Rattus norvegicus: one gene and its partner. The protein of the gene in region 1 purifies or fractionates together with the protein of each later gene. This does not show direct contact. Links are inferred from orthologs where the notes say so. Each region holds a gene or a part of one and is shown on either strand. Other genes may lie near its edges.

Evidence for each region.
Region 2: the proteins of Brms1 (region 1) and Sap30 purify together in Homo sapiens (affinity purification with mass spectrometry; 3 studies listed by BioGRID and IntAct, with this or other methods). This does not show direct contact. The link is inferred for Rattus norvegicus from reciprocal best matches to the Homo sapiens genes BRMS1 and SAP30.

What each region holds. Positions count from the first base shown.
Region 1 is NC_086019.1:211,772,907-211,778,340, forward strand, and holds the start of Brms1 (breast cancer metastasis-suppressor 1 homolog), read left to right. Parts: upstream 1-2,235; 5' UTR 2,236-2,297; intron 2,298-5,434. Other genes in the region: B4gat1 (beta-1,4-glucuronyltransferase 1), read left to right, coding at 1-879, 1,123-1,314. UniProt on the Homo sapiens protein: Transcriptional repressor. Down-regulates transcription activation by NF-kappa-B by promoting the deacetylation of RELA at 'Lys-310'. Promotes HDAC1 binding to promoter regions.
Region 2 is NC_086034.1:37,756,263-37,761,744, forward strand, and holds the start of Sap30 (histone deacetylase complex subunit SAP30), read left to right. Parts: upstream 1-2,231; 5' UTR 2,232-2,504; coding exon 2,505-2,819; intron 2,820-4,595; coding exon 4,596-4,721; intron 4,722-5,068; coding exon 5,069-5,167; intron 5,168-5,482. UniProt on the Homo sapiens protein: Involved in the functional recruitment of the Sin3-histone deacetylase complex (HDAC) to a specific subset of N-CoR corepressor complexes. Capable of transcription repression by N-CoR.

The sequences.
Region 1 (5,434 bases):
AAGTCTCAACTCCGCACCGCACTGGCCTCCGGAGGCGTTCTGGATGCCAGCGGCGATTATCGCGTCTACAGGGGTCTACTGAAGACCACCATGGACCCCAACGATGTCATCTTGGCCACGCATGCCAGCGTAGACAACCTACTGCACCTGTCCGGACTTCTGGAGCGCTGGGAGGGTCCGCTGTCCGTTTCAGTGTTCGCGGCCACCAGAGAAGAGGCGCAGCTGGCCACGGTGCTGGCCTACGCGCTGAGCAGCCACTGCCCCGAGATGCGCGCCAGGGTCGCCATGCACCTCGTGTGCCCCTCGCGTTATGAGGCCGCTGTGCCCGACCCCCGAGAGCCTGGGGAGTTTGCCCTGCTGCGGTCCTGTCAAGAGGTCTTTGACAAGCTAGCCAGGGTGGCCCAACCCGGGATTAATTATGCACTGGGGACCAACATCTCCTATCCCAATAACCTGTTAAGGAATCTGGCTCGAGAAGAAGCCAATTATGCCCTGGTGATCGATGTGGACATGGTGCCTAGCGAAGGGCTGTGGAGAAGCCTAAGGGAAATGTTGGATCAGAGTAACCACTGGGATGGCACAGCCCTGGTGGTGCCTGCGTTTGAAATTCGCCGAGCCCGCCGGATGCCGATGAACAAGAACGAGCTAGTACAGCTCTATCAGGTGGGCGAAGTCCGGCCCTTCTATTATGGGCTATGCACGCCTTGCCATGCGCCCACCAACTACTCCCGCTGGGTCAACCTGCCAGAAGAGAGTTTGCTGAGACCTGCCTACGTGGTGCCCTGGAGGGACCCCTGGGAACCGTTTTACGTGGCTGGAGGAAAGGTGCCCACATTTGATGAACGCTTTCGGCAGTATGGTTTCAATCGAATCAGCCAGGTACTTAAAAAGGAGAGGGCATGTGGGACTGGAACTGGAGGTATGTCAGGGATGGAGTGGCCATTGGTGGGAAAGAGGCAATGAAGCAAGAAGATGGATGGTGTAGAATTGAGGAGGGTGGAGTGACACTTTAAGGATGATCATTTGGGCCCTGGGGATATCATTAAGTTATTATGATTAAATTATTATGACCTCTCTCTGTCTCTCTCCCTCTCTTCCCTCTCCTCTCCTCCATCTCTCCAGGCTTGTGAACTGCACATGGCAGGGTTTAATTTTGAGGTGCTGAACGAAGGTTTTCTGGTTCATAAGGGATTCAAGGAGGCATTGAAGTTTCACCCCCAAAAGGAGGCTGAAAACCAGCGCAATAAGATTCTTTACCGACAATTCAAACAGGAGTTGAAGGCTAGGTACCCCAACTCTCCCCACCGATGCTGAGTTCTTTCCTTCCACGGTCTGAGAATTTTCAGCATCTGGCGCTTCAGGCCTGACTGGGGTAAGAACATGCCTCCACTTTACAGAGGTAGCTGTGGTTTTGGAACACTGGACTTGACTATGAGGTGCTGGGAGCAAGTCTCAGCTTTACCACTAACTAGTAGGGTGGCCTTGAGCAAAACCTGTTCCTTCTCTGAGCCTCCATTACCCCGTCTGTAAAAAGGGAGGTGAAAATACCTACCTCACAGAACTGTTGGCTCAGATGAGACGCTGTATGTGAAAACATCCTGTAAACTTCGTACAAATGTGAAGTATTAATATTGCTACAGTGTTATTATTATGATATTGTTATTATTAACAATGTTGGGTGGATAGCGGCAGAGCAAAAAGTATGAATGGGCTAGAGCTTGAGTATTTAATAAAATGAGCCTTTTGGAAAGATGAAAACATAGAACGTAGTGCTCAGAACTGGCGTAAAATGTAAGCTTCCTCGTTCTCTTCATGCCTGCGCCCTCCACCCTCCGAGCTCCAAGGAGGAAAGGGTCTGTAGGTCCTGGGGGTTAAAAGTCCCAGCTCTGTGCCCTCCTGGAGGTCGGGCTACTCATTTGCCTTCGGATGACAGTGTGTAAATAAACGAGTGTTACACCCACAGCTGGCTCTGTTACTCTCCTAAGCTGAGGGGTGGTGGGCCAGAGTATCGTGTTATATGGCGGTGGACCCAAGGACACAGACCACAATGCTAGGACAGGCTGAAGGCCTGGGACTGTAGGCCAGTTGCTATGGAGACCCGTCCGCCGTTTCCCGGCATGCCTGGACACCAGTAGTTCCATTGTAAGCTCCACAATGGGCGCCTTCTGATGACGTACACGGAAGCGTCGACACCTCCTGGAGAAAGAGGGACCTGCGCAGCTCTCTTCGGGAGACCAACGGCGGAGCGTTCACCTGTGTCCGACAGCTCTCCGGGACCGGAGGCCCCAGTCTCTGCGGTGCGTATGGCCACGCCTAGCGCTGGGTTGGGCTTCCCGGGTCGGAGTCAAAGCAGAGACTTAACCGGCCCGGCTCGTGCTGGCCTGAGAGGAGCCGGCGGTTCTGAGGGTGGATCGGGGTTGGACGGTCCCTTGCGCCTCAGTTTGTTTCCTGTGTTTGTAGGGAGGGGTCCGCTTTCCCTGGAGGTTTGCTCTGGAGGTGCTTATACGTTTGTAAAGAGAAATCTCATGTACATCGCACTTTACCGTGTGCCTCTTCATTCCCAACAATCCTCAGCAATGGTATATATCCCCTATTGTACCCGGGTTAAGGAGGGACGGTTGTGACTTCATTTAACGAAGTCAGGATCAGAGTCAGCTGGAGGAAGGAGATCGTTGAGTTCGCCCTGCGTCTTAGCAAGCATATATACCACGGTGAAAAGGAATTGTTAGTGAAGGGGATCTGAGGCTTGAGAAGGGGAACGGTGAGACTATTTTGGAGATCTGGATTTTAGAGCAGGAGGGAATGCTACTTAAACTCTCCTGCAGCTCCGGCACTATAATTACTTGAATGGGTGTGAAGGAGCGTTGGCACCACTCCAAGTAGGGCTACCAAGAAGTAAAACTCAATTCCTGTACCGCAAAGGTTTGTTAATTTGTGTTTAGAAGTCTTGGGTCGGGGTTGGGGATTTAGCTCAGTGGTAGAGCGCTTGCCTAGGAAGTGCAAGGCCCTGGGTTCGGTCCCCAACTCCGGAAAAAAAAAAAAAAAGAACCAAAAAAAAAAAAAAAAAAAAAGAAGAAGTCTTGGGTCATCAAGTGAGCTGGTACTGCACTAGGTGAATAGGACAGATTGCAGCCCCTGTCCTGATGAAACACCCACATTTCACTGGGTGGACGGACATGAGAATGGGAGAACATGGGACAAAAAACCTTCTGGGGGAGGCACGGGGAAGACTTACAGAGCAGCAACCAGAGATGTAGAAATAACACCATTTACACCAGTGTGAACTAGAAGCTTCTACATCCAAGATGGCTTATTCTCTCGGGTGATCTGGCAGCATCAACCTCTCATGTCTCCTTCATTCTGAAAATACCTTCCACCCCAACTTTAGGATTTTTTTTGGGGGGGGGTTCTTTTTTTCGGAGCTGGGGACCGAACCCAGGGCCTTGCGCTTCCTAGGCAAGCGCTCTACCACTGAGCTAAATCCCCAACCCCCAACTTTAGGATTTTCAATCTGCTCTGCAGAGGTTTCTCCCCCTGCCTCCTTTGTTGACCTTGAGAATTCCAGCAAAGACCCCTTGTCACGTTTCTGCCTGAATAGTCAGACTACATTCAGCCTAAACAACTTGCCAAATGGAGGTGGTGGAGCCTAGGTCTAGTGGAAGCTTGCATACCTATGTCCCCGGTCCTTTTCTCACATCTAGGTCTTTGTACTCTGCCGGGAATGTTTCTCTCATGTCAGCCTGGTCCTCACCTAGTCTGTCTCCCTCTGGAAGCTGTCACTGTAGCAGCAAGCTCCAGATCCTGTGTAAACACCTCTCCCATAACACCTTAGTTTGTCTCTCTTCACACACACCGTTATAAAGGTCTGTTTCTTTGCCTTCCCTCCCAGGAAGTTGTTATTTCCTCGAGGCCAAAGACTGACTGTCGTAGCTATGGTATAGCATCTGCCACAATCCACAGTGACTGTTGGTACCAGGCATATATTAAGTGTTTAGTAAGCTAAAAGGTGGGTGGAGGGACTTAGCAGTGTTTAATGTTTCTGAAAGAGAAAGCTCACCTAAGGCAAGCACTGAAAAACAGCGTTTGCTACAAGGCAGTTGATGTGTAATTCTGCCACAGTGGTTTCACTGTGAGTGCTGGATATCCAAATGCTGAAAGTCAGAATAGCAAGTGTGCACAAGGCCTGGAGAACTGTAGGAAATTAAGTAAACCGAGCCAAGTTTCATATTTCTGCATTCATTCTTTTACCTACTTATTTATTTATTTGAAATAAGTAAGTTTTTGACACGGCCTCACCAGCTATTGCCAGCCTGAAACTCTGTATAGCAGGCTGAGCTTGAATTTGTAGTAATTCTCCTGAGTGCTAAGATAACCACTACACCTGGCTTTATTTTTTTATTTGTGTTTGTTTTTTCCAGAGGGATCTAGTCCAAGTGCCTCTTTAAGCAGCAATTCTACCACTGAACTATACCCCTGACATACTGCTTTTATTTGCTTTTGTTTTAAGACAGAGCATCACTATCTAACCCACAATGGCCTAGAACTTGCAGACCTGCGTCAGGATGTGGGGGGTTGGGATTATGTGTATGAACCTCATCAGGCTCTTGTTTATTTCTTTCTAGTACTGAGAGTTGAGTCCAAGACCTCATATAAGCTAGAAACATTATCACAATTCTCTGCTCCCCACTACTTCCACCCCCCCAATGGCTGTCCTGGAACTCCCTCTGTAGACTAGGCTGGCCTTGAACTCAGAGTTCCACCTGCCTCTGCCTCTGCCTCTGCCTCTGGAGCACTGGGATTAAAGGCATGTGCCACTACCACCTGGCCTCTCTCTCTCTCTCTCTCTCTCTCTCTCTCTCTCTCTTCTTTTTTTAGATTTCTTTTTTTTTTTCTTTTTTCTTTTTTTTGGAGCTGGGGACCGAACCCAGGGCCTTGAGCTTGCTAGGCAAGTGCTCTACCACTGAGCTAAATCCCCAACCCCAGATTTCTTTTTTTATATATGTGGGTATGCTGTAGCTGTTTTCAGACACACCAGAAGAGAACATCAGACCCCCATTACAGATGGTTGTGAGCCACCATGTGTTTGCTGGGAATTAAACTCAGGACCTCTTGGAAGAGAAGTCAGTGCTCTAAACCACTGAGCCATCTCTCCAGCCCCTTCTGTTTTCCCTTAATGGTAGAAAAACCTGAGCACATCTGAATTCCCACATGGGAAGGTGCTTCCTGTTCACGTCCTTAGGAATGCTAGGGACTTAGGGTATTGCTCAGTGGTAGTTTGGGCTCAGCATTTATGAGAACCCAAGTTCAATCCTTAGTCCTTCACCAAACAAAATAAAAACCTGCGTCAGGATCATTTATGAAGAAGGGGACTTAACTGAATGGAGAGAAACAAGCCTGTAGTCCTGTGGCTTGGACAACAGACCAATTCTCAAAA
Region 2 (5,482 bases), on another chromosome or scaffold:
GTCACTTCTCTAGGCTCTGGTTGACTCCACTCCACTGCTGTTGCTATTCTTGGTGATCATCCCATGGCACTGGCATCTCCAATATCCTGGGGTTTTTTAACTGCAACTAAGCTTCACCTCTCAGGCTCTCTTCATGATGCCAAGCCTCAAATCCTTTGCATGATCCCTTTGGTCCTGGGCCATCAACAACTGAGGCTACACCTTCATCAATGGCCTTCCATGGCCTCTCACAGTGCCAAGCCTCAGCTGCTCTTCATGACCCCTTCATACCAGCACTACCTGGGTGACGCTTACACGTTACCAAGTCCAGCATGAGGTACAACATTTGCTATCTCTGGAACACAGCTTCTTTGTACTTTCAGAAAACACTTCCCAGAAGATATCACCTCCAGGATGCTGATCTCTTCTTAATCACTGCTAATTTCTTAATTCCAGCTAACCAGCATCTATTGTCCCAGTAATCCCTTCTATTCTTTAAAGCCAGCCACATAGCCAGAGCTGCTGGGTTCTGCTGCTTGTTGAGGCTGGCCCTTCCTTATTCTATTACCAGCTTTCTGTTTTCCAACTTCTTCACTGCCTAAGCTTAGCTGCCTGTAACTTGCTCTGTATTGTATATTTATAGACCTTGAACTCAGAGATATGCATGGCTCTGTCTCCTTAACACTGGGATTAAAGGCATGTACTACCATGGTTGGATTTTTTATTTATTTATTTATTTATTTATTTATTTATTTATTTATTTATTTTTATAGGAGTACACTATAGCCATCCACAGACACACCAGAAGAGGGCGTTGGATTCCATTACAGATGGTTGTGAGCCACCATGTGGTTGCTGGGAATTGAACTCAGGACCTCTGGAAGAGCAGTCAGTGCTCTTAACCTCTGAGCCATCTCTCCAGCCCATGGTTGGATTTAACTACTCGGAATTTGCTCTGTCCCAAGCTGGTCTTGAACTCAGAGATCTGCTTGGCTTTGTCTCTTTGCATTAAAGGTATGTACTACCATGCTTGGACCTAAGCTTTTCATGGCCTCTATTCCTCAAGATCCAGATCAAAAGCCTGTGTCTTTCAGTCTCAAGATCTGGATCACAAGTGTGCCCTCCATACACAGATAACATGGATAACTTTTATTTTTGCCATGTTGATATATACATACATATACATACATATATACATACACACATATATGTACATAGTCACTGAATTGACAAAATCTTAAAAAGGCTTTCTTTCAAAACTCCACCTGAAATGCATTATTTTTGCTTAATCAGTAGGATTGCTAAATAGTCCAATAATTAGCAGAGGTGCAGGGTTGGCATGGCCACGCCCATCCCTCCACCCCGCCCACCACAAGCGCAGGCAAGAATACACGCTACGCGGGCACAAACACGTACCCAGGCGCGCACGCGCGCAAACTACCCCACCCGCGACACACATAAGCGCACACACATGCATATATATATGACTCAAGAGAAGAGGGTTCTCCGTCCTCGTCCTCTACAGCCAGCGCAGAGAAGTTTTTGAGGAGCAGTCAGCAAAGGTGATACTAGTGTGGTTCCTTTAAATGGTCTCAAATCCTCTTAGATCCTTTTGAAAGGGATCCAAGCTGCAGTAGAGGCGACAGGCAGCCCAATGCCTGTCAACCGGTTGGCACACGAGTGTACCGAGGACCTGACACGCTCTAGAAATCAGCTGCGGCACGGAGATGGAGACGTAGGACTCTGCGCCTAAAGAGCTCTAGGTAGCGCGAGTTTTTCCATAAATACCAACAGCCCGTAAACTTTTTCTCACTTAATCTTTACTAACCCACCACACACACACACACACACACACACACACACACACACACACACACACACACATATTTAGGCTTCTTTCTAGGAGTCAGCTGGCGGTCTGAACACTAACTTTGCGAAGAAACAGGAGCTAAATCCAGCCCTTGCTCGCATGACAGTACAGAGACGAGAAAACACGGTAAACGCCTGACCTCACAGTCAGATTTGCCCAGTGCTTGGAATAGAAAAAAAAAAAAAAAAAAAAAAAAAGACCCACGGGTGGCTCGCCGCGCGATGCATGCTGGGACGAGTAGTTTGTCCCGTCGGTCCCGCACGTAATCAGAACAGAGCGCAAGTTGGCTCCGCGACCAAGAACTACCATTCCCGTGGGGCCTCGCGGCAGGGGAGGGGCGGGGCCGGAGGAGGGGCGTCTCCCTCGCGCAGGTTCTGGGGCTAGAAGGAGGCGGAGAAGCTTCGGTCCAACTGCTGAAGTCTCCATGTGACAGTGAGTGGGGTCCCGTTTCTAGGCGCCACTCCAGTCCTGATCACAGTCACAGGAACGGGCCGCTATTCCAGCACCGGCAGACCGGCAGGCTTTGGACTCTGGGCGTCGGACCGTGCGGCCGCCAGACTTGGGGTGCGGAGTGAACGGCCGCCCCGGGGAAGGAGGCGGAGCGGCGCGGCGAGCGGGGCTCTGTAGCGGCGCCGGCGCCCCCGAACTGGCAGACATGAACGGCTTCACTCCGGAGGAGATGAGCCGAGGCGGGGATGCGGCCGCCGCCGTGGCCGCTGTGGTCGCTGCTGCAGCTGCCGCCGCCTCGGCGGGGAATGGGAACGCTGCCGGCGGTGGGGCAGAGGTACCCGGTGCCGGTGCGGTGTCCGCTTCTGGGCCACCTGGAGCGGCCGGTCCGGGCCCCGGGCAACTCTGTTGTTTGCGTGAGGACGGTGAGCGGTGCGGGCGAGCGGCAGGCAACGCCAGCTTCAGCAAGAGGATCCAGAAGAGCATCTCCCAGAAGAAGGTGAAGATCGAGCTGGATAAGAGTGTAAGTGGCCCCGGGACCGCCCTGCCCTGCCTTATCCTGCGTGCCCTGCCCGATCTTTGGCGGGGTTCACGAGTCTCTGAGACTGGGCTGCAGGTGGGATTAGTGGTTCTCTGATTGAAACAAAGTCCCTGCAACTCCGGCCACCTTCCCCCCAGCGCGCGCTCGCGCAGTGGTGCGGGTCCCCTCCTCCCCTCACCCGGACTCCCGCTGCCTCGCGTGTCTCCCACGCCAGGCTTCCCTCTTCCTCCTTTGCTGCGATCTGGAAACGAAACAAAGGGGACCGCGACACCAAGTAGTTTTCTCGCAGCCGTGTAGTCCCTTCTGGAATGGAGGCGCCTTTGTTTTGCTGCCAGAGCCGGTGTCTGCCCCAGGGAGCAGCTCTGTAGCTCTGTTCCTCTAGGGAAAGTAGAGTCTGGCTGGATCCCACAATGCTTCTCTCTCTCTCTCTCTCTCTCTCTCTCTCTCTCTCTCTCTCTCTCTCTCTCTCTCTCTCTCTCTCTCTCTCTCTCTCTCTCTCTCTCTCTCTCTCTCTCTCTCTTTCTCTCTCTCTCTCTCTCTCTCTCTCTCTCTCCCCTTCCTTCTGCCCCCCCCCCCTTTTCTTTTTCTTTCCTCCTCGGTGTTCTCTTTCTCTTGAACACAGGCAGGGAAGCCGAGCTCACCAGTTGCCTTGCAGAGAGATGGTTGTAAACGGCGTTTGCGGTGTCAGCTCTTCGGGCAGCTGCTCTGAACCAAGGCTGCAAATAAGCCTCTGCGGTTTTACAACCCTCTCGGCAGCCATCGGGATTTCTTTTTCTGTCTTTATGCACGTCTGCTGTTTTGGCCAGCTATGAGGTTTCAGAGAATTCCACTACTACTTTTCAGAGCTCTGACTGATGGCAAAGGAAGAACAAGATACAGAACCTCCACACATCCTGTATATTTTTAACTTGCCCTTAGCTTAGAAGTCAATTGAAAAGCCTGTTCATTCGGCCTTTAATTGTAGCCTTAAAAGCGGGGAGGGGGAGAGTGTCAACCAGCTCAGTACTTTCTATCCCACCGTATATAACTCTCAAATGCCTGAGTAATTACATTTTTTTGAAAAGTTTATTTGTGATTCTGTTTGGGCAGTTTCTCAGTAGGGTCCATGAGAAACTTTGTAAGTGAACGTGAATAATTTCAATTTGCTTTAATTGAAAACAACATAATACAGTGAAATGCATTCATTTAATTCTTGAAAAGAAACCTTGGGGCTTGAAATTTAAACATAGGATATGAATATGAATTCAATGACACATTCGTAAAAAAATGCATACTTTGTATCTGTGTAGAATTTGACTATCTAATTAGAAAGATAAGGAAGCATATGTGCCATTAATATAATTTGCTGTTCTCAAGTTAGAGAAAATACTAACAAGTACAAAATTGTGGGCAATGTCACCTCTCCCCTTAAGTCAAAACCAGCAGGAGCTAACTTATTTAGGTCACCCTCGATGCAATTTGGTGACAAAACACAGAGGATTGGAATTTCTCTTCCTCTGCTTGTCTGCCTGCCAGGTGCCTGCCTGAGTTCTCCAACCATTCTTCCTACCAGCCCATCACTTTCTACTACACCCCTCCCCCAATCTCCTTAACAGTATCACAGATTGCTAATGTTACAGCAGTTTAGTATTGGAAAGAAACATGCATCCTCTTGCCAGTGCCATTAGACTGTTTTTAGTGAGCTGCCTGGGCCTGTGCAGTTTACTGACCTTAGTTTTCTGGACTCACAGTCTTTTAACCTTTCTTTGTCCTTTCCAGGCAAGGCATCTTTACATTTGTGACTATCATAAGAACCTAATTCAGAGTGTTCGAAACAGAAGGAAGAGGAAAGGGAGCGATGATGATGGAGGAGACTCACCTGTTCAGGACATCGACACTCCAGAGGTAGACCGCAGGGTTTTCTATAGTGAATTGTCAATCATAATCACACTGGCAACTCCAAAACCGTTCTGTAAATATTTAACCATTTAAAGCATCTGAGAAATCTCAAAATTAAATACAGCCAGTAAGTTGGCTTTATATTAATATTAAATCTCAGATGACAGTCTTATAGTTCTTGATATACAACTTCCCCTTTTATTTCTCCAAAAGTTTATAATATGTATTCCCCAAAGATGGAATTGTTTCATAAATTACAGGTCTGATTTTGTAAATGAAGTCATGTGAAGTGCCATACAGATCAGTGATATCTTTTTAGCAGAGTGATCTAATTCATGTTATTTTTTTTCTAGGTTGATTTGTACCAATTACAAGTAAATACACTTAGAAGATACAAAAGACACTTCAAGCTTCCAACCAGACCAGGTCTAAATAAAGCACAACTTGTTGAGGTATATATAAATATGCTTTATACTGGGAAACAATCCTGTTTACAGCAACAAGGTATCACTAGGTGATGATGAAATAGAGAAATGCAGTATACTGAATAGTACATTACATGCAGTAAAGTCAAAGTTAATAGGCCTATCGTGGAAGAGTAGAGATCTTTAGAAACATCTGTCTGCCACTGAGAAAAATCTCTTCAGTGAGTACTCAGTGGATTATATTCAGAGTATGTACAGCGTCTTTTAATAGTGATTTTTAGAGTAAATATTCAATAAGAAATTTTTATCATCGTTCTAGAATTCTGTTTTAAATTTCTAATT